4 linked regions of the Drosophila melanogaster genome follow. The protein of the gene in region 4 interacts with the protein of the main gene of each other region in a pairwise test. Each region holds a gene or a part of one and is shown on either strand. Other genes may lie near its edges. The genes, in order: san, bys, CG12768 and Cyp9f2.

What was found.
Region 1: the proteins of Cyp9f2 (region 4) and san interact in a two-hybrid assay, tested with the Drosophila melanogaster proteins (one large-scale study listed by BioGRID).
Region 2: the proteins of Cyp9f2 (region 4) and bys interact in a two-hybrid assay, tested with the Drosophila melanogaster proteins (one large-scale study listed by BioGRID).
Region 3: the proteins of Cyp9f2 (region 4) and CG12768 interact in a two-hybrid assay, tested with the Drosophila melanogaster proteins (one large-scale study listed by BioGRID).

Annotation. Positions count from the first base shown.
Region 1 is NT_033778.4:11,357,899-11,362,804, forward strand, and holds san (separation anxiety), read left to right. Parts: upstream 1-2,807; 5' UTR 2,808-2,926; coding exon 2,927-2,934; intron 2,935-3,060; coding exon 3,061-3,384; intron 3,385-3,616; coding exon 3,617-3,839; 3' UTR 3,840-3,973; downstream 3,974-4,906. Other genes in the region: CG12384 (uncharacterized protein), read right to left, coding at 218-373, 438-526, 1,060-1,105; ix (intersex), read right to left, coding at 1,621-2,187; Gr47b (gustatory receptor 47b), read left to right, coding at 4,002-4,906. UniProt on the Drosophila melanogaster protein: N-alpha-acetyltransferase that acetylates the N-terminus of proteins that retain their initiating methionine. Has a broad substrate specificity: able to acetylate the initiator methionine of most peptides.
Region 2 is NC_004354.4:7,899,840-7,905,128, reverse strand, and holds bys (by S6), read right to left. Parts: upstream 3,250-5,289; 5' UTR 3,138-3,249; coding exon 3,009-3,137; intron 2,945-3,008; coding exon 2,827-2,944; intron 2,763-2,826; coding exon 1,970-2,762; intron 1,914-1,969; coding exon 1,794-1,913; intron 1,732-1,793; coding exon 1,581-1,731; 3' UTR 1,486-1,580; downstream 1-1,485. Other genes in the region: RpS6 (ribosomal protein S6), read left to right, coding at 3,881-3,886, 4,122-4,326, 4,840-5,289. UniProt on the Drosophila melanogaster protein: Required for processing of 20S pre-rRNA precursor and biogenesis of 40S ribosomal subunits.
Region 3 is NT_037436.4:22,908,021-22,914,180, forward strand, and holds the start of CG12768 (uncharacterized protein), read left to right. Parts: upstream 1-2,470; 5' UTR 2,471-2,552; intron 2,553-2,812; exon of another isoform or gene 2,813-3,131; intron 3,132-3,569; exon of another isoform or gene 3,570-3,735; intron 3,736-3,813; 5' UTR 3,814-3,905; coding exon 3,906-4,213; intron 4,214-5,243; coding exon 5,244-6,160.
Region 4 is NT_033777.3:12,402,422-12,408,646, forward strand, and holds Cyp9f2 (cytochrome P450 9f2), read right to left. Parts: upstream 3,608-6,225; 5' UTR 3,488-3,607; coding exon 3,282-3,487; intron 2,469-3,281; coding exon 1,949-2,468; intron 1,888-1,948; coding exon 1,230-1,887; intron 1,173-1,229; coding exon 1,006-1,172; 3' UTR 919-1,005; downstream 1-918. Other genes in the region: Sol1, read left to right, coding at 1-60, 117-459; CG5167 (uncharacterized protein), read left to right, coding at 4,303-5,598; CG5196 (uncharacterized protein), read left to right, coding at 5,991-6,051. UniProt on the Drosophila melanogaster protein: May be involved in the metabolism of insect hormones and in the breakdown of synthetic insecticides.

The sequences.
Region 1 (4,906 bases), on a different chromosome or scaffold from region 4:
CTTGAAATCTATAAAAGGGATAAAGTTTATTACAAAATATTAACTCAGAAAATCAGCATTTTTAATTTATGGAATGCAGTGGCAAATGCATATATAAAATTAAAGAGTAAATATCGCATTCAAAGGCGATTTCAATACCATTGAGAGGACTCATAGAATTTCAACAAAAGATCAAAGAGATTAGATAATGATAATAGTTATTCCGCCCGAGTACGCATCACTTCCGTGGCTGCTGGATGTGGATCTGGGGCTTCTGCTGCACTGCAGCCGGTGGCTTGGGCGAGTGGGCCACCTGGGCGGAGGCGGGCGTAAAGTCCGTGTTGCCCTTGACGGGGGCACCGCTCACAGAGCCGGAGTTCACGGCAATGGGTTGCTTTAAAGGATTAGAGGATAAGTTAGTTTCCATTGAAAACCACATACTTATGTCAATAGCTCACTGTCAGTCCAGTACAATCCTCTGCATCCTTGGGCGCGCGTTCTGCCGTCGGCGCTTTGTGCTGCACAATTCGCATGCCACCAGCCTTCACTATAATTAAATAACAAAAACATATAGGGTTGGCAACAAATGAGGCTTGGCCACAGTAGCCGATTCAAGCCGTGTTTACGTAAAGCGGCTATTAAAAAGTAAGTAAGCCATACTAGTCGTCCAAAGTTGACATGTTATTATTTACATTGTACGAAGATGATTAAGTCAATGGCATTTTATAAACGTTAAGGATAAAATATAAGGCGTAAAAAGCTACTTTAAAAAGTAATAATTTCCTATTCAGTTAACGTTATTGTTTGAATTGCACGTGACGTCAGCATAAAGTACAAATACAAACATACATTTCTTGAAAGCTATGCGTTTGCTTGCCTGTGTTCGCTTATTTGTTTACTTATCAGCTTTGGCCGAAACAGGTTAAGATACTGATAAGGGCGCAGATATTCTGGCAATTGATTTGATTGGGTGCATTATTGATTGCCAACAAGGCAGTTTGTTCTTATAAGATTCAATTGCTGCCAAAAATCGAAAACTCGTCTGCATCGACACACACACACCAATGCAAGTGCACTTACATGCAGGTGGGTGTCCGGCCACAAGATTTGGTTGTTCATCTGCCATTTGTTCTGGTTTAGTAAGCTGAGGGTCGGAGAAGTTGAATAAATTAACGGCTTGTGCACAGTTAACAACAAAATGAGACCTTACCGCTTTTCTAGTTGTAAATAAATGCGCGGCACCGCTGTGTTTTGCTTTTGCGTTCTAATTGTGACACGTCCGACTGTTGTCTATCGAATTTTTAGCCTTTTCTCACTGGATGCGCAGTTACTCATCGACTGCTGCAACGCGTTCTCACTGCAAACATTTTCACAAATAGTGGTACACGAAATACAACTAGAATTTATTTTATTGCTCGATGTTTTTGTGTAACATGTTTTCTGTATGCAAACTAATGCCCACAAGCTATATTTATTTTATTATTTTCCCTTTTACTCTTCCGCCTGTAAAAACGTTGAGTATGGTAACACCATTTCGACTTTCCCAAACAAAGATCATTGTTATCTTATATCTAAGAATATTTATTTACTTAACTTAAGTGCATGCGTGTGAAATAATAAAACCTAATGCTACTACAACTATCAATCAGCCTGCGAAATGTTCTGCGCGGCACTAATCAGAGTGTCGTGTATATCCTTGGCGGACTGTATGTGAACGCGGACCGTGTTCAAGTAAGTGGGATACGAAATGGGGCCGGCGTTGTCCGGCATAAAGGTCTCCATGCGCATGGGAGTCACCGGACCGGGGAGATAGTGATTGGAGGAGTTCTGCTGCTGGAGGCACTGCATCGCCGTCTTCAAGTGGATCTCGATCTGGTCGCAACAGGCGTAAAAGTCTTCCAAGTGCTTGTCGAACCGCGGAACATGGTGGGCACCCGTGTCCCTCTTTAAGTTGTCCGCGAGATTGTTTTGCTGCAGCGCGAAGGCGCTCGACCGGATGGTGAGGAACATGGACTCCCGCAGTGGTCCCAGCAAACTCTTCACCCTGGAAATGTTGTCCAATTTTTCGGCCTGCTGCTGCTGCTGCAGTGGCTGTGGAGGCTGCTGCTGTTGATGCTGCACTGGTCCTGGGGGTCCCGATGGCGAGGATTGCATTACCTGCATCATTTGTGGCCCAGACATGGGCATCATGTTCATGTTGGGATTCATTTGGCACTCGAAATCGATGGATATTGGGGGAGAAAAATATTGAACAGCCGCGAATTGTTTTCTTTTTGTGAAGAAAAACCCGTTAGGAGATTTCTCACATTTGCGTTCGCGTACCCATGGCGAATATCGAATATAATATAAATATAACTAAGAGTTGCTAAAAAATACAAAAGTTGTACTGTAAATTTAAAAAATTCTTTAAAAAAAACTAGTTTAGAAACAAGGACTACCCAATATTTCATATTGTTACATACATAAAAGTGTATCTATAGCATAACTCACTACGAAAAAGTAGAGGTAACAATATGTTTTGAAATTAAAAGTTGGCCATTATTGAAAGTGTTCGTTCATATTCTAACTGTCAAACAAGTGATAGCTAATGTCAACCGACCGGAAAGAGCTGTCATCTCATTTAGTGTATGCGTATCCCAAATAAAAAACGATGTGTAATGTTTCATTTAGCATTGAGTGTTTTTAGTTCTGTTTTAATTAATTATTAGTTTTTGTTTATTGCTTAAAATAGTGTGAGCAAAAAAGTTTAGTTAGTAGTCTTAGATATGAAAATCAAATTTATCTTGCTATAAAATAGCTATTCTGGCCGGCGTCAATAACCGATAACGATAACTTGCGACCTGCAACCCGAACAATCAGGAACAGCTGAGGCGCTTAAAACACATTTTCCTATTACAATTTTCGGCGCAAAGCGCGTTGCTAAATCAACAGAAATCGTACAGACAACATGACTAGGTGAGTGGCTATCTTTGCCGGACCATTGGAGGATTGTGACTGCAGGAGATGCACCGGAATCATAACCTAAAAGTGCCGCTTGGGTCGGAAAAGCTAACCCATGTTCCTACCCTTTCCCGCTTGCAGGAGCAGCATCGAACTGGGCGACGTGACGCCCCACAACATCAAGCAGCTAAAGAAGCTCAACACCGTGGTTTTCCCGGTCTCCTACAATGACAAGTTTTACGTGGACGTCCTGGAGGCCGGCGAACTGGCCAAATTGGCCTACTACAACGACATTGTAGTGGGCGCCGTCTGTTGTCGCATCGACAACACTGAGAACCAGCGGCGCCTGTATATCATGACCCTAGGATGCCTCTCCCCGTACCGGCGCCTGGGCATCGGCACAGTTATGTTCGAGCACATTATGAACTTCGCCGAGAAGGACGGAAACTTCGACAGCATTTTTCTGTAAGAAAACTTATCATTAAGATTCGTGTGTTTTCGACACACCCCTGGGGAGCAATGTAGTTCGATTTTAATGTAACCTATAACTATTTAAGTGGGAAAGTTTAATTCCGGCCTATCTGGCTTATTTATCTATCCATTTAATACATAATATATATATTTTTGGCTAAGGAGGAAATAGGTTTATTTCGAAAATACTTTAGATCATGTTTTTTAATTCTGGTTATAATTTTAGACATGTGCAAATCAACAACAACGGAGCCATCGAGTTCTATAAGAAGTTTGGTTTCGAGATTGTTGACACCAAGGAGCAATACTATAAGCGCATCGAGCCGGCGGACGCTCATGTACTGCAAAAGACTCTGCGCCGCACTGCACCCAACTCAAACAGCACCGCCACCAGCACCACCGCGAACTCAAATTCACGTAGTAAAGCACGACAGTTCACATTTGTTTAAAGATGAATTTCAATATGTATAACAAACAGACATGTAGAGGCGGCCAAAACGATGTATTCAATTAGTCCGATCATATCTATGTGTAATCAATAATAATTACCCCTGCGCGGGAATAAATAGCTCTATACGGCTTGGCCAGTCGAAACTAACATTACTTGGGCAATGCAACGCGACGATGGCTTTGTCTACTGTTACGGAAACTTGTACAGCCTCCTGCTCTACTGGGGATTGGTCACAATCCGGGTGAGAAGTCCTGATCGTGGAGGTGCGTTTTCAAACAGGTGGACTGTGTGCTATGCCCTTTTCACGCGCTCCTTTATGGTTATCTGCTTTATGGCTACCGTGATGACTAAGCTGAGGGATCCCGAGATGTCCGCTGCCATGTTTGGACACCTTAGCCCGTTGGTCAAGGCAATATTCACCTGGGAGTGCCTCAGTTGCTCGGTCACCTACATTGAGTACTGCCTTTCGCTGGACTTGCAGAAGGACAGACACCTGAAACTCGTGGCTAGGATGCAAGAGTTCGATCGTTCCGTTTTGATGGTGTTCCCTCATGTTCAGTGGAACTATCGACGCGCTCGCTTGAAGTATTGGTATGGCACTGTGATTGTCGGCTTTTGCTTTTTCTCCTTTTCCATCTCACTGATCTTCGATACGACGCGTTGCACATGCGGCATACCGTCCACCTTGCTGATGGCCTTCACCTACACCTTGCTGACCAGTTCCGTAGGATTGCTGGGTTTCGTGCACATAGGTATTATGGACTTTATAAGGGTTCGTCTGCGTCTGGTGCAGCAGCTGCTTCACCAACTTTACCAAGCGGATGACAGTTCAGAGGTGCACGAAAGGATTGCTTATCTTTTCGAAATGTCCAAGCGCTGTTCGTTTCTCCTGGCGGAGTTAAACGGAGTTTTTGGATTCGCCGCAGCTGCTGGTATCTTTTATGATTTCACTATCATGACCTGCTTCGTGTACGTTATCTGCCAAAAGCTGCTGGAGAGAGAGCCCTGGGATCCCGAGTACGTGTACATGTTGCTGCACGTGGCCATACACACCTACAAAGTGGT
Region 2 (5,289 bases), on a different chromosome or scaffold from region 4:
CAGCATATCAGTTGGGATCATTCTAATCGTAATCAATAATAATCAATACCGAACAAAATCGTACTTCATTTATCCCTAATTTTCAGTCCTTGATTTTTTTTTCGTCCTTGTCCATGTCCTTGTCTCAGATTTTTTGAATACTTAAGTGCATCGATAACTGGAGGAGAGCTAGAGAGGTTGTTAAATTATTAAATAATTCGAAACATTATATGTGCGTGAGCTTGATCAGTAGTTGGGTTTTCCTCAGTTTATCCACGATCTAGAAATGTAAATGAGAAACACTTAGGAAATGTTTAACGTTAACAAAACTGTGCCATTCAAAATGGATACATATCGTTTAATTGTTGTTAATTCGGTTGCGGAACCAATGACCATTTGAGGCAAAACCAATTAATTGTATATTTGTATCTTTTTCAAGTCGAAAACACAACACAACTCGGACCAATGGGTAAATACTTGATTCTTTGATTGAAAACGGTCCCTAAAAACCAAAATCAAAATCGAAATTGAAATCGAAAACCAAAACCGTAATCCCTAAAAGTAATTCAATTAAACGAAATAAATCACGATCAAGAACAAGAAGCAAATGAATACTTGCCACTTTCATTTCTCGAATTGGGCGTAAGGTGCGGACCCTTCATTCGGTATGCACATAGCCAATGCTCACTGTACCCTTCCCCCACATGCGAGTATATCAGTTTATGTCTAAGGCTTTAGCTTTCGCTTCAAACGATCATCGCCTATGTATTTAAAGCCCCGAAAAACTTTCGATATCCTTACTCACTGACGGCATTCCAAATTCATATTGCTTTTAAGATCGGTTATTATATACAAACATACCCACGCTCTCTTTACAAATTGTATTTCGAAATCAAAGCTCAGCTTGAAAACACACAAAAAAAAAAACGGAAAAAAACAGAAGTAAGCAAATTTAAGAAACGAAATTATTGATAAGGCTTGAGGCCTAAGTACTTGGGTAAACTAATTTCAAATGGTCCAGTGTAGTTATTGTAAATTATTCAAATTGATCCCGACCCGAATCGGTCCTTGGAGTATGCCCTTAAATAACACAAATGAAAAACAGAACAGAATAAAACAAAACAAAACAAAACAAGACAAATGTTGGAGTGAGATAACGAAACAATACTTAGAGACTAATAAAAAGTGACGAAACGAAACTTTTAGAAAGATTTTGGTTACAGAATTATATTTAATAATTACTACATTTAAAATTGAGATTATAAAACTACATACATACATAATGTATAACGCGGGCGTCTGGTCAATATGGCCGATGCGACTGCGACGGCGCCAAAAGATACCGTCATTGTCAAGCAAAAAACCAAAAGCAACTAAAACTTAATGCAAAATTGTATAAAAAAAAAACCACACACAAACACACACATTTGTTTTTTCTATTAAAACATTCAAAACATCTGAAGTGGCTTTCATTTTCCCACAGAATAAACATCTGCATTTGATTTTCACTGCATATGTAGGTATATTTACATATTTAACGACTATCCGATATTAAATAGTAAAACAATATCATCTTAAAGTTATCCTTAATTTACACCGCCTCAGCCCTCGTACTCCACATCGGCATCTGTGTACATCTTGGCTGGCTGCCCAGCCAGGCCATTATCCGTCTCCATCATTTCCACATCGCGACAACTGGCCGCCTGGAGCTCCCTTCTCACATCGGGTGTAATCTTGAAATGGCTCTTCTTTCTGCAATTGTGATTTACAGTTACTAACAGTTCTAGGGTTTCAATAGCATTCGATTTACTTACTTGAGCAGCTGCAGCAGTGCATCCCGCTGTTCGGAGGATATATCGTTCTTGTATCGCTGGGCAAAGGTGAGCAGGCTCTGGTGCCATAGCACTGGTAACTCACGCTTGTCGTTCTCGAATCTGCAAGAAACCATGTTATTTCGATTTCTAAAAGGCATTGTAGTGAGAATACCAACCTTAGAAAATGAAAGACTGCGGCATCCACGACGCGATAAGGCAGAGCATACCGCTTGTCCAGAAAGTAACGGATGAATATGGAGTTAGCTCCCGAATAGGCCATCTCACAGATCTTCAGCAGGCAGGCGGAGGAGTGCAGGACGGGAATAGAGCTGCGGGCCACCACACTGCCGAAAATGATGGCCTCGCGCAATGTGCAATCGCCGCCCTCGAGCAGCGGCAGAATGATTCCCTTCATGAAGGCAGCCGGCTTGAAGAGAGCCCTCTTCAGTGCATTGTACAGATGCATATTGAGCTTCTTATATTCGCAGAGATCATCACGAACTCGTGGCAGGAGCACCAGGTTATAGAACCTCTGGGCCATTGCCTGCGACAGCACCGAGCAGAAGATGCGGGTGCCTTGGAACATGGCGGCAGCGCTCCAATTATGGGGCTCAGTGATGAACAAGATCTGCTCCCAATTGCGCAGCTTGGGTATGATCTTGAAGGCCTTAGGGATCTTGCCACTGCGATAGCGTTTCAACACATCGCGCACGCCCTCGTACATCTCCTTCACTTTCGGGTCGATTTCCTCGATCTTTAGTGAGCCCTCGTCAGAGATCTTAGTGTGTATGTCGGCCTCCTTCTCCTGGATCTTCTGCATGATCATCTTGGACAGGTGCAACGTACGCTTGCCCTCCTGTGCTGGCTGCTGGAAGCGCTCGAACGCGGCCACATCGTCTTCGTCCATGTCCAGGTCGGCCATGAGGTCAGTCTCGTTGACCTCTTCATCCTCCTTGACATGGCCATCATCTAAGTAAGGACAGGTAATGTTGGTTAGCTTAGCTTAGGATAGTGAAACTTAGGGCGCACTTACTCAAACTGAAGTTGACTTTCTTGACGGTCACCAGACTGGGAAAGTTCTCTTCGTCCAGCTCCAACTGCTGCAGCTTGGCCGCGGCCAGGATCTTTTGACTACTTCTGGCATCGATGTTCTGTGTTCAAATAGGAAAGAATTTGTTTAAAAACACAAAACGCAGTTCAAACCCGGATTCTTACCGCCGATTCCTCGGCCCGCAGTTTGACTTTATCCTTGTTCTTGTTTTTCGCCACCCTGCCCTCGGTGATCTGCTTCTCCAGATTCACATTTTTAATCGTTGCCACGTTGGCCTTCTTCGGCTTACCCATTTTGCTCGGATATTGTCAAAAATCAAGTGTAATAATAAGGGCAACAAAAATTGTAATCACTACACGTGCTGCAACAAAGCAGTGGCGTTACCGGATATTTTGAAAGAATCGAAAAACAAAACACATTTTCGCACGTGTGGCAACGTCGCAGGGCTGGCTTTTCGATAGGCTTGTGAGACCAGGGATGGTGGCGCAAACGATATTGAATGCAGTAATTCAATAAAATCTATATATATTGTTTTTGAAGTTTATTATGAAATCGATTGTACCGATATAATTCGTTTCAAGATGTATTTAAAAAGTCGCATAAATAAATATTTAGAACGCACAATATAGCATGTTTGATGAATCAGTGCAATTATCTCCATTCTCGTGTATTATTAATAACGAGTGTTATTTTCGTACTTATTTGGCATAATTCTTATAATTTTAATTAATACAAACAATTTAGTGATCTTCATAGTTTTAATAAACTCATTTACTTTTTAATATTTGTTATGTCTCAGTTTTAATGTTATAGTGAAGGTTGGATATATAAATCCACTTCATATTTTGGTACGTTTTTACATCGAAAGAAATTATTAAATATCGCCGTGAGCACGAACTATCGATATGCGGCGGTACAGCTGGTCGATCTGTCATCTCTACTTCCTCCTATCGGTCTTTTTCAACCCTGCGCTCGCAGCCAACAGACCTCCGCCGTTTCTTTTTTTTTCTGCGTTGCGTGCAAACAGACCGACAATATGAAGGTGTGCTAAAAATTTGTGATAATACTGATATAAATTATATCAATTTGTGAAATATTGCGAAAATGCTAAAGCGCAAGCATTGGCGCGGTGATCAAACAAATTGCAAGCGAAAATGTCCAGTGATTGCGTTAAAATAAGTGGATGATATTATCTCCGCTGCAATTCGACTTAATATACATTTATATGTATGTTTATGCATTGTGTGTGACTTTTTTTTTTGCATTGTGTGTTCCAGCTCAACGTTTCCTATCCCGCGACGGGATGCCAAAAGCTATTCGAAGTGGTCGACGAGCACAAGCTGCGCGTCTTCTACGAGAAGCGTATGGGACAGGTTGTGGAGGCCGATATCCTCGGTGACGAGTGGAAGGGCTACCAGCTGCGCATCGCCGGCGGCAACGACAAGCAGGGATTCCCCATGAAGCAGGGTGTCTTGACCCACGGTAAGTTTGCAATGCGATTTACAATTATGGTGTTGAGCAGTGAATGATTGTATCTGGCTAGCCGGCATAGGTTTAGTCTTTTGTACGCCTTGAAAGAGTGGTTCCTATTAAGAAACGTATGGAAATCCTTTTAAGCATTTGTAATAAAGCCTAGCAACCTGGATCAGTCTTGTGATAATATATCTAAAAGAACATAACCTTAATATGGAAGCGTCTGTGTATACTTCTGTGCATATTCGTGGCGAGTTTTTCGATTCTTAGTAATACAAAGCGAATATTTCCAACAATTTAGTTGCAACGTTGCTAGCAGCTAGTAATTTACTATATGTGATTGGAGTACGTTCCAAAGATGAGCAAACAATTAGTAGGATAAATTTCCTTAAGTATTTGCAAACACATTTCCTTACACCCGAATGGCTAATGGCTAACCAGATAATAACTTTCCAATCACTGCTCATATCCATGGACTGCTCTCAAGAAACTACTACAAAAAGCAATCATCTTTTCCAACAGGCCGTGTGCGTCTGCTCCTGAAGAAGGGACACTCCTGCTACCGTCCACGCCGCACTGGCGAGCGTAAGCGCAAGTCTGTGCGTGGATGCATCGTGGACGCCAACATGTCTGTGCTGGCTCTGGTCGTCTTGAAGAAGGGTGAGAAGGACATTCCCGGTCTCACCGACACCACCATCCCACGTCGCCTGGGACCCAAGCGTGCTAGCAAGATCCGCAAGCTCTACAACTTGAGCAAGGAAGATGATGTGCGTCGCTTCGTTGTGCGTCGCCCTTTGCCCGCCAAGGACAACAAGAAGGCCACCTCCAAGGCCCCCAAAATTCAGCGCCTGATCACCCCCGTTGTGCTGCAGCGCAAGCACCGTCGCATTGCGCTGAAGAAGAAGCGCCAGATCGCTTCCAAGGAGGCTTCCGCCGACTACGCCAAGCTGTTGGTGCAGCGCAAGAAGGAGT
Region 3 (6,160 bases), on a different chromosome or scaffold from region 4:
AACATTACCGATGATACCAAACACTGTAAAAACTATTATGTACCCAGAAGAGAAGAGAAGAAAAGAGATATCACAAAAATCGTGAGGCTACGTAGGACACACCAGACTGACCCATGAGCATCGATTCTCCCAGCCAATCAACCGTCAATGCAATACGTACCGAAATCAATTTCCCACATCCTAGACGATTGCATCGCCCTCCAAACACATGGATCCAGAAAACCAGAATTCAAACCAAAATGCTGTGGCACAAAGATCAAACATAATACTACCAAAATTGCTTCACTTGGGTGAAAAGTGAATCCTCGAACATATCTGGGATATCGATAGATATTGGGGAATAAAAGGAGGACAATTTAAAAATTGTGACCGTTTTGGTCGATTTGTAGGTTTTAGGGCGTTAGAGTGGGCGTGGCAAAAGGTTTTTTAGCAAATCAATAGAAATTTTCAAGACTAATAAAATTATATAGGCATGGCTGTTTTGTACGTTAGGGTTTTAGAGTGGGCGTGGCAAAAATCGATACTCGAAAATATACTTTATATGGTTGGAAACGCTTCATTCTGCCTATTACATACTTTTCAACGAATCTAGTATACCCTTTTACTCTACGAGTAACGAGTATAATTATCTTAATATATCTTAATATCTCCTTTATAAAGGTGTTAATTTTGTGCACAAAAAGTGGGTAAATTTCCCATAGTGCAATGGAAACACCATTAAAGCGTCGTGTAAAAAAGTTGGTCAATTTTTTCTAATGGTTTGTACTGTTCCGGGATGGCACAACAACTTGGAATCACATTTATAAGTTTTTTTTGTGAATTGAAAAACTAAACTTAAATCGCAAATACATATATCAATAGAACAATATGAATGTTCTTACTACGTAAAATAATAGGCAATTTTCCCTGGCCCCTAACGGAACCGAAGTCGCCCTACTCAGCTGATTTTATCCCAATCTGACACGCCCGTGACATGCTGTTGCCTATCCGAAAATATTTGTGTACCACGGATTACATTGCAGTAATGGATTTAATTTAAGCTGTGGACCGCGTTCGACTCAACTGCAGATTCATCAGCGCCGAGAACGCATACTGATAAGTCGAATCAGAATCAGACAAAGCGGTATGCTGCGTTCTGCTGAAAAAGGAAAGGGAGAGCGAAAACACGGATGGCTGTGTTGGTGCGATTGATAAATACGAGTTCATTCTTAAAGCTTATTTTTTAGATGACCAAGCGGGAGACAACAACGAGTAAACAAGAGCAACAGCAACAGCGGGCAATAAAGTTGATTGCAGCAGTGGCAAATTGAATATTTGCCAGCGCGCGTGTGTGTGTGCGCAGCCTTTTTGTTTGTGCTTGTTCGCATTGTTAAATATCCGCACCAGCAGTGCAGCCAAATGGGATGATAGATGCCGAATGCCGAATGGCGCGCGAGCAGAGCGAGTGGCTACCATTGTTAATCCGCAGTTCGTCCTCTGTGCCCCTTGCCTCCTCCCTCGCTCATTCCTGTGCCACAGCTCAGCTTGCTACCAAAACTCGACCTCGACTTCATCCCTTGCTCTCTCGGAACTCTCATGCTCAAGCTGTTGCTTCAGCTACAGCTCAGCGTACAATTGTTGCTTTGCGGAGACTGCGCTCATTGCCGGGTGCTGCCAATCCTGGGTGCAATCCGTTCATTATTTATCCGGCTGGTGGTAAGCAAATAGCGCTCACAAGCCACTTAGTGCTATCACTCTTGGATTAATCACTGGGCACGGCTCGGCGATAACGTGTCACTGCCACAAACGGAACCGCAACGGCGATAAATATTTTTCACAGCGAAAATAACACTGCCTAACAAAGTTTGAAACACTGTGACTAGAACATTTCCAAACTTCAGCTATTTCTTCAGCTATCAGTTATATATTTTAGAATAGATAAACAGAATATATATAATGCCATTTATGTAATGATTTCGATGAATAGATAGATGGCTAATATTTTACCGGTACTCCACCAAGGTGTTTTAAAGAAGACGGCTTTAAAGGTTTCCTATAATATACATTTTTTTATTAAATTTCATTTTATTTATTTTAAAATGCGTCCCGTTTGAGTGGAGGATATGTCTAATATAGTCCTAAATAGATACCAAGTAAATATCTTTTCGTATCACTCCACACACACACAAAAAGTTGAGTTTATAATTACATTATTCACGCAGCCCTCTAGGCTCCCTCACTATGCCAATTTCTTTTGTTGTGTAGTGTAATAGCATAGGATTGGCAGCCTCCGATTGTTTACACCAGCGTAGGCGGCACTGCAACAACAACAATAGCATCCTCTGCTCTCATTCTCTCTCCCGTGCTTTGCGCTCTGGAGCGGAGCAGAAAAGAAAAGCGCCATTCGCTCACTTTCTCTCCGGCTCTCTTTGTGCTGCTGCGCCAATTTGCAAGAAAACTAAGTTGGTTTGCTGTGCAGTTGTGACAATCGTCGAGGAGAGCAGCGGCGCACTCTCTAAAAGGAAGCTGCCAAGCCAACGAACGGCCAAGCGAGAGGTGACAAGTGAAAAGTGGCAAGTGGATGTACCAAATAGTGACAGGTTCACTAGTAGTAATCGCAAGTTAGCTGCCCGTTTGGCTGCAGATTTTCGTCAAAGTTCGCTATTCGTGTTGTTTTTTGATGTTTTCGTCTCTCTCGGCTGTCCGCATAGGCAATGTGTGTATACATATACGCGATTTCACACTGACAACAGGGCCGGGCGCGTGTATGAGTGTGGTTATTTTGCCGTGTTGCCGAACATCTGTATCTGTATCTGAATCTGTGGCAGCCAATAGTTGTGGCAAGGCCCTCGAGCAACTCGCAACACAACACATAACAACAGCATCCCCAATAAGTGGCAGCAACTACGCCGCATGGCAAAGCACCAACGGCCGCATTTGTTGTTAATTGAAATAAATTGAAATAAATTCCCCGACTTTGCTGCTCATATTGTTAATAAAGAGAAGCCGGAGCGACGCAACAGCGAATCAGCAGCAGTAAACAAAACTGTGAGCAAAAGGTTTTAGTTCCATTCCAGGCGTCAGACGACTTTGAGTACAAGCGACAAACAACCAGAACATCTAAGGAATTCCGAGCGAACAATGTGAATAATGTTGGTATCACAAGCAATTGGTGGCAATAACCAAAAAGAGCACATGCGTTTATTTATAGACCCCAGTGTGTTCCCATTAGTGAGTGTGTGGCGTGCTGTGCACTGCAAATGAGTTCAAGCTGCAGCCAAAGAGAAGGAGGCGTCCTACCAATACCAATCCTTGTGTAGTCTTGTTCCCTCCACAATCAGATCGGTCGCAGACCAACAGTAGCAGCTGAAATTCCTCGATCGGCACACGAAATCGTATGTAAATACTTTCCTGCCGAGTCAGCCTCTCAGAATGCCAATGTTTACAGTATTCGATTATTGTTTAACTAACAGCCTCTTATGGGAAAGTGGAATACATACATTAATTGATGGGGGAGGTGGGGGTTGGGGTTTGTAGGGTCTGCTATAAGCAGATTTCCCGTATTTGATTTGTCCCCTCTGTTGTCTCAGTTTCAGTGGGACCCATACTCCCGAAAATCAATTGTATTTAACTGTGCGTATGCGATTTCGAAAACAAAAACACCCCTCCTGCTGGGGTCATTGCACCCAAGGTGCGTGGGTGCGTGTGTCAACACTTTTGAACCCCTAAGCACCCACCCGAGAAATACGCCGAAAAGTATGCAACGAACATGGCGACCATCAGCACAAGCAACTTTAACGATTTTCTCACCTCATTTCTATACTTACTTTGCAGCGCAGCATCCGGCGACACAGGACATGCGCAGTGGCCTTTTTGGTAGTTGCATTTCGGCCAACAGCGACTGAAAGAGCAGAGAGCGGAGGAGCATGGCCTTTTCCCGCCACAACATCGAGAAGCGCCGACTCATCGAGCTCGTGCGACTCAACCCAATCCTCTGGGACTGCCGCCTGCCACACTACAAGCGTTCGGACAAGCGAAAAGCCATCAAATGGAACGAGTTGGGGCGGCTCTTCAACGTTAATGGCGAGCGGGTGCAGCGCACGTTTACTTCGCTCCGCGAGATCTTCCGCCGCGAGCTGAACCACGAAAAGATGCTGGGCACCACGCGCTTCAAGTCCAAGTGGGAATACTACGATGCCATGGCCTTCCTCAAGGAGGTCATTCGGGAACGCAAGTAAGACGACGTTTGACCTGCCCTAAAATACTACCTTATGATATATGTAGATCCCGTTTAAGGGATTTTGGACATTCCAGTTATTTGTTCTAGTGTCTTTGGAAAAAGGGTTTACTAAATTCGTTGAAAAGTGTGTAACAGGTAAAAGGAAGCGTTTTCGACCATATAAGGTACATATATATATTTCTGAACAGGATCAATAGCCAAGCCTCGAGCTCAGGAACTATAAAATACCACACTTTTGAAAAATGTTTTCATTTTTCTTGGTTTCATTTTTTTTATCTTACCGATATACCAAAAACACTTTGGCTACGCCTCTTCTGAAAAATTCAAACCGCTCACAACAATTTTAATTCCCCAATATCTATCGACAAGCAAGGAAAATTATAGAATTTCGCGTTCGCACTAGCTGAGTAACGGGTATGTGATAGTCGGGTTTTCGACTACAGCAATTGTGTTCCGATTATAATCACTGAAAAAGTTGTTTGAGCAAATTCGGAGAGAGGTGACCGCGAAATAATCACCGTCACTTAAAAGCCTAAACATATTTACATATTCAACATTTAGATTTTGATTTTACGCGATTTTTAAGTTTTTATTGTTATAAGAAGAATGATTAGTGTAAGGGATTGGGAATATAAATGTCGAGATAGTTCTCAAAATAATACGCAAGTCACCTTCCTCGGTTACAATAAATTTACATTGATTTTACTGAAATCAAATCAAATAAAAACTAGTTAAAGAAAATAACTGTTGTCTACCGAATAAGAACAATGACGCAGATAAGAATATAAATGTCTAGATAATTCACAAGGATTGTGTGCAAGTCAAATCTAAATTTAAGCATTTAGGAAGGGTATACATAGAAATTCTATTAAAACTTTGAATTTGTTTCATGTGGTCGGTCCAGAACTGACCAACAGGCAAGAATGAAATGCATGCCTGCGGATCTGCATCATAGCACCTATCTGCTAACCTTGAGGCAAGCACCCGCTTTCCAAAAAAGCTAATTACAACTTTTGCTTTTTAGATCTCGCGAGCGCATCAAGCACGGCTCTTTGGATTCAGCACCAGTAGCCACAGGCAGCAGCAACAATAACAACAACTGCGTAAGCCGCAATAGCAGCAACAACAACAGCAGCAGTGCGGCCCTAGACGAATATCAGTACTTTGCTCCTAGCGACCCCAACAACCCGAACAATCAGCCCCAGCTGCAGCCCGAACCAAAGAGTAGTCTGCCAGTGACTATTCCCAGTCTAAGTCTCACCCTCAGCCAGTTGCCGGTGGCTCTGCAGCAGCAGGCCCAGCATCTCCAAGCCTTACAGTTGCAACCGGACGTGACGCTGACTTCCCTGCAGAAACAATCTTTACCCACTTCCCTTACCAATGCCACACCCGCGCCCTTAGCACAAACCTCGCCCGCCCAGGTGCTGTCCAGCTCGCGCTCATGCAGCTCTTCGCCCTCCATCTATATAAAGGACGAGCCGTGTTCTCCGGCAGGGGGTTGTCCGGAAGAAGTGATGACCGGAAATGGACCAGAGGCGACAAGGAAGAAGCTGGCCACAATTCGTCCGCAGACCAAACAGCAACTTAAAGCGCGTCTGCAGCTGCCCACGCCCAAAAACTCATCATCGTACGCTACGTCGCCGCCCCATTTGATCATCAATGCCAACAACGAGCTTATTGACACCGACGCCGGGGACCTGGAGGAGGATCTGGACGACTTCGACGAGGACGACGACGTGACCGGACGCTGCTCACCAATCGTCGGCCAGTCGGAGACGATGGGTGCCGACGGCAGACTTTCGGTCGGAAGCATTTATATCGGTGACGGTGGCGACTGCGGAAGGGGTATGGGTAGAGCCCACACTCAGGCGCGACACGTGCCTACCTCCAGAGAACTGCTCTACATGAAATTCGGTGACTTTCTGGCCGCCAGATTGAACA
Region 4 (6,225 bases):
AGCAAGTGACGAAAGAGTTGTGCTTCACTTCACATATTTCGATATCGAGGGCATTGGAAGGTAAGATCTTTATCTAAACTATCACCTAAAAATGTTTAATCCCCTTTTCTGTGCAGTTGTGACCACCAAACCGCCAGCGATTACATCGAGTTTTCCAATTTCATGAGCACGGATCGAAAGTTCAGCAGATACTGCGGAAAGCTTCCCGATTTTGAAATGCGTTCTGATGGACGTTTCTTTCGAGTCACCTTGCATTCCAATGATCGCTTTGTGGCCATCGGATTCCGCGCCCTGTACACCTTTGAAACCGTTTCAGTGAATAATTCCATCACCGATCTTCGGGATAATGCCTCCATGCAGAGTTTCGTCTCAACAGCGTCAACTCAGCCGGTTGCAAATGTAAACAAATTAATTGCATGTATCTTATGCACTTATAAAGCATACCAATCTTATGTTTAAAATATAGAGACAAAATATTTCGAAATTTTGTTTTCTAATTCTTTAATAAATTTTAATAATTTTTTTCTATTTTAATGGCACACAACTTCATTAAATTTAAATATTTAATCTTGGCCAAATTATCGTTTTAAAAGCAATCGATTTCATGTTGGCTATCGAAGTTTATGCGTAGTAGTTCAAGAACTAACAATTTAAGTTGAGGGATTTTAAGTATTAGGATGTAAATTAAACGTGATATCATCGATAAAAACTCCGCCAAGCATTTTCATTTTCAATAGTTTCTGGTAAAAATTATTTATTTAATTTCAACTTCATTATCAGAGTTACCGTGTAAACGAGCCACTCGTTGTTATCTGCAATCGATCTTTACCTGTTCGATTCAGTTTTGTAGAGTCACGACATAAGTATATGCTATCTTTTTATCATTTTTGGTATAAATTAAAAACAAAGAAACAAATTACCATTAATTGTTTAAATTTAATAATGTCAACTTCTTTAAAACATAACATTCAACAAAACATATTATTATTTTGATCGTTTATAAGATTAGTTCCTTTGAACAAGTTTAATCCAAAAGCCGCCTTTGGGTGACAACTGAAAACCGGAAGTAATGAGCTCTAGTGGAATGCAGGATTTCTTGGCAGGGGCAAAGCGGTAGTCCTTCAAAAGATAGTAGATAACAGCCTTTGCTTCAAGTAGAGCGAATCGGGAACCTATAATAAATACATTTTACATTTTTTCGAAGAACAATTTTGAATCAATCAACTTACCAATGCAGTTGCGTTGACCCAGGCCAAAGGGGAAGTATGTGAATGGCTGAATAGACTCCTTGTTCTCATCGCTAAAACGTTCCGGATCGAACTTCATAGGGTTCTCAAAGTACTTGGGATCACGATGGAAGCCGCATGTAGGCAGCCAGATGACATCGCCCTTCTTGACCTCGACTTTCTGGCCATCCACATCGAAGGTGATATCCTTGTTGCATTCTCGATCGACGGCAATTGCCGCCGGCCACTTTCGCAGAACCTCGTTGACGACCTGATCCAGATACTTCATGCCCATAATTGCCTCATAGGTCAGTTCTTTGCCCTCCAGGTCTTGGTCCACTTGCTGTACCTCCTCGTATAGCCTCTGCTGCACATCCTGGTTCTCCATTAGCTCGTGAGCGGTGAAGCACATCAGCACCGCCGAAGTCTCGAAGCCAGCAAAGAAGAACACGAAACACTGGGCGACAATGTCGCGATCGCTCCACTCGCGAACGGCAGATGCCTTGGTCTTCTCCGTCTGGATGATACCACGAGCCTCCATCAGCATGTTTATCATGTCGGGACGTACAATATTGTGCTCCTGTCGGTATTTCATAGCATCGAGCACCAGACGCACGAAATACTGAGTGCTTTTCCTATCGAAAAGCTCGACCTTAAGGATCTACAAGGATTATTAAAATTAAGGAATATATTTTTTTGATATGTGTGTATGCTGTGCCAACCTTATTAAGACCCTTCAATGCGAAGAACAACATGAACTTCATGCTCTGCAGGAATGTAAATGTGGTCAGCTTTTTTCCCATCTGATAGAAGGTATTTTCGCGATCCTTGAACGAGTTCACTTGCAGTCCAAAGGCTGTCGAGGCGATCACATCATTGGTGAATCGTGTGCAGTAGTCCTTCATGTCCAGTTCATTCTCCTGAACCCTTGAATCATCCTGCTTAAGACAGTCCACGGCCTCCTTGGCCACCTGGTTCATCAGCTGGAACATCTGACGCATTTTGCTGCCTGTAAATGCCGGACTCAGAGTGCTTCGCATATCCTTCCACCGAGCATCTCGCATGGAGAACAGCGAGCTGCCGAAAAGGTTACTCATGTCATGTGGATCATCATCGCTGCTGGTGGCAAACACATTGCGATGATTGATAAAGTGATCGAAGTCCTTTATGGTTATCTGCTTGATAAGATCTGGGTCGCGCACCATTAAAAGTGGTTGTCGCTGCTCAAAGATACCAAAAAATCTAAAAAAAATAATAATGTTAATGACCGATAAGCTTTTTGTGAGTCACACACTGATAAATCAAATCAGAAATTATTAATCGTGCGCTCAACAAGTTTAGAAAACGATAACAGAAATTCGAGTTTATGCATGGCTAGCGTTGTTCATTACCTATCCGACGAATTTTCAATTAACCCATCTCGATTTCTTTTTGGAAAACTATAAATTTATAAAGCGGATTTCTCGTATTGGTCTATAAATAAATCATATGTACATTAAATCCAATTGAAAAGGCTGAGTACAATAATGATTGCATGTTTATAAAGTAACAAAAAGGGTAAAGTCATACAAAGAGTTGCCCCAATATGAAGTTAATTAATAAATTAGATAACCTTATCGTTATAGCACTTTTCAGGAGCTTTATCAATTATTTTTCCTATCAAGTTTGCCGTCCGAGACAAACAACATTTAAAGCTGTCGTATAATCGATAAGATTATGGCAAACTAAACTAATAGAACCAAGCATTTCGCCAATTATCTTGGCAGTTACACACTGCTTTAGATAAAAGACTTAACAAAATATAATAGAGTATTTCTGAATTTCTGTAATTGTATATTCAAAACGTAGTCGAACGCAGCCGCACCCACTAAATGTGTGTATAGATAGATCACTGATTGCCTGACCTTGACATACGATTTTATATAGGCTTGTACGCAATGCTGGAGGCCAGTAGATACACACTTGTTCCAAACGTGTTTTAAGTGCAAGTGCAAGTGAGCCGGATGCATATTAGGTAATCAACTTATTAAATCCGGATCAATGAATTTAACTCACTTCTTACTTCCGCCTTTGGTGTAGAGATCACAGACTATGTCAAACATGGCCCTCTTCCGCAGGAACATGCCGGCCATGTTGCCAAAGTAGAGCACTGGCTTTTCATAGGCGATGCCCCTATCCTTGAAGAAATCATTGTTGGCGGACGCCCAACGGTAGAACAAGGCGGCAGCGATCGCAAATAGGGCGAAGAACTCCCACAACATGTTGACCCTAGCTTGGCGATCTAAGCGTCCAGAATATAACTAACTACGCCACAAACAATCGGGAGCGTTTTGTTGTCCCCACGCAGAGCTTTCTAACAAAGCTTCGTGTACTGCATTTGATAAAATACTTGTTGTCTGTAATACACACAAGTATGTACAAATTTCTGAGCGCAAATGATTTAGAATATCACTCATCATTTCATTATCACGGCGTGTTGGAGAAAATGCTGACGACTCTGAGCATACCAATATTATGTTTAAAATATAGAAACAGAATATTTCGAAATTCTGTTTTCTAATTCTTTAATATATATTTTTTCTATTTTAATGGCACACAACTTCATTAAATTCATATATTTAAACTTGGCCAATTTATCGTTTTAAAATTCATCGATTTCTTGTTGGCTATCGAAGTTTATGCGTAGTAGTTCGAGAACTAACAATTTGATCTGAGGGATTTTAAGTATTAGGATGTAAATTAAACCATCATCACCATAAATTAAATTATCATCGATAAAAAAGGACGCAAAGCATTTTCATTTTCAATAGTTTCTAGTAAAAATATTTTATTTCATTTCAACTTCATTATCCGAGTTACTAGCCACTTGTTGCTATCTGCAATCGATCTTTACCTGTTCGATTCAGTTTTGTACAGTCACGACGCTACTATCTTCAATAAATACAGCTCTTATACGGTGCGATTAGCATTATTAACATTTCGCCAGTCGGCCGAAGCAGACGAATTACCTTTCGGTCTGGAAGTGATAAGACATTTCTAGTCAAATCATTATAGTCGCATATCTGTGGACTCTGGAATGGCGGCTAAGAAACTGGATGCCATAATCTTCGGTGCCTCCGGGTTTACCGGAAAGTACACCGTCTTCGAGGCTGTCAGCGTGCTGAAGGGCCTGCAATGGGGCATCGCCGGACGCAACCAGGAGAAGCTGCAGTCGGTGCTGCGGGAGATGGGTGCAAAGTCCAAGACAGACCTCTCCCAAACGCCGATCGTCATCGCGGACGTGAACAACGAGGCGTCACTGCTAGAGATGGCCAAACGCTGCCGCATTTTAGTCAATACGGCCGGACCATATCGGTTCTTCGGCGAGCGAGTGGTCAGGGCTTGCATCGAGGCGGGAACGCATCACGTAGACGTAAGCGGAGAGCCACAGTACATGGAAACCATGCAGCTGCGCTACCATGATCTCGCCAAGGAGCGTGGCGTGTACGTGATCAGTGCGTGCGGCTTTGATTCCATTCCCGCCGACATGGGAGTCACCTTCGTGGAGAAGAACTTCGACGGCGTGGTCAACTCAGTGGAGAACTTTGTCCATCTGGGCGTCAAGGGAGGTACCAAGGGAACGGGCAGTGCTGCACTCAACACCGGCACCTGGGAGAGCGCCATTCACGCTATCGCCAACCGGAGCGAGTCTGTGGCCATCCGGCGCAAGTTGTTTCCCGAGCGTCTGCCCAACTTTCATCCGGCTCTTAAGTCACGATCGCCGCTTTCCCGTGCCGCGGAAGTGGACAACAAGGTGATCCTGCCGTTCCCTGAAACAGATCGCTCGGTGGTGATGCGCTCGCAGCGTTTCCTTTACGAACTGGAGAAGAAGCGACCCGTTCAGATGCAGGCCTACATGACGTATCCCTCATGGTTTGCGGCCAGCGTTGTCGTGCTCTTCGCCTCTATCATTGGCATTATGGCCAAGTTCTCCTTTGGCCGCCAGCTGCTGCTTAAGTACCCCACCGTCTTCTCCGGCGGCATGGCTTCCCGCGAGGGTCCCAGTGAGGCGCGGATGGAGCGCTCCTTCTTCAGAATGACCATGAAGGCCACAGGCTGGCCCAAGTCCGAAAAACTAGCCGAGACCACCGATCAGTACACCTCTCCGCCCACAAAGACACTGACCGTGAGGGTTACGGGTCCCAATCCCGGCTATGGATCCACTTGCGTTGCACTGCTCTCCACGGCGAAGACCATCCTCAACGAAAGCGACAAGATGCCCGGATCCGGCGGAGTCCTGCCACCCGGAGCAGCCTTCCGTGGCACCAGTCTCATCAGCGAGCTGGAGAAGCACGAGCACGGCATTAAGTTTGAAATCGTGGCCAACAAATAGTGTCTTTAATGAGGTGCATTCGATGTTATTAAAAATACATATATGTATGTATGTATGTTAAATATATTTATCTTAATATGAAATTTGGATTTACGTTTGCATTACCTATTGATTAACTAATTTGTGCCATTAGCTTACTCACAAATAATTATTATTTATTTCAGGGAAGAATTAATATTTATATATGTGTTTATTACTATAACCAGTTCGGTTCCACTTCTTTTAAAAATAGTGCTCCAACTGGTTCTTGGGTTTCCAAGTATTTGCAGGCACGGTCACACCGACACAGTTTTGTTTCGATTAGTTTGGTTATCGATACCGCTGTTGGCTGCCTTCGTTGTTTACCTTTTGGTCATTAGCAATTTCGACGCCAACGCGAGAATACACAGATTATGAGTCCTGAAATATCCGGCTTCCGGCGGTTCCTGCATTGGGGCCCCATTACCGCCCTTAGTAAGTGTTGACCGAACTGGTGATAGGAGGTGATATCCTGAGGACATCCTTCTTGAAGGGATGGATCCAATTTGAAAATATCTACACTGGTGAAAGTGGAGTCAAGAAACTACTCATTATATGGGGTCCAATTACGTGGGCGGCACTTGCACCGGCAACGCCCCACTCCGGGCT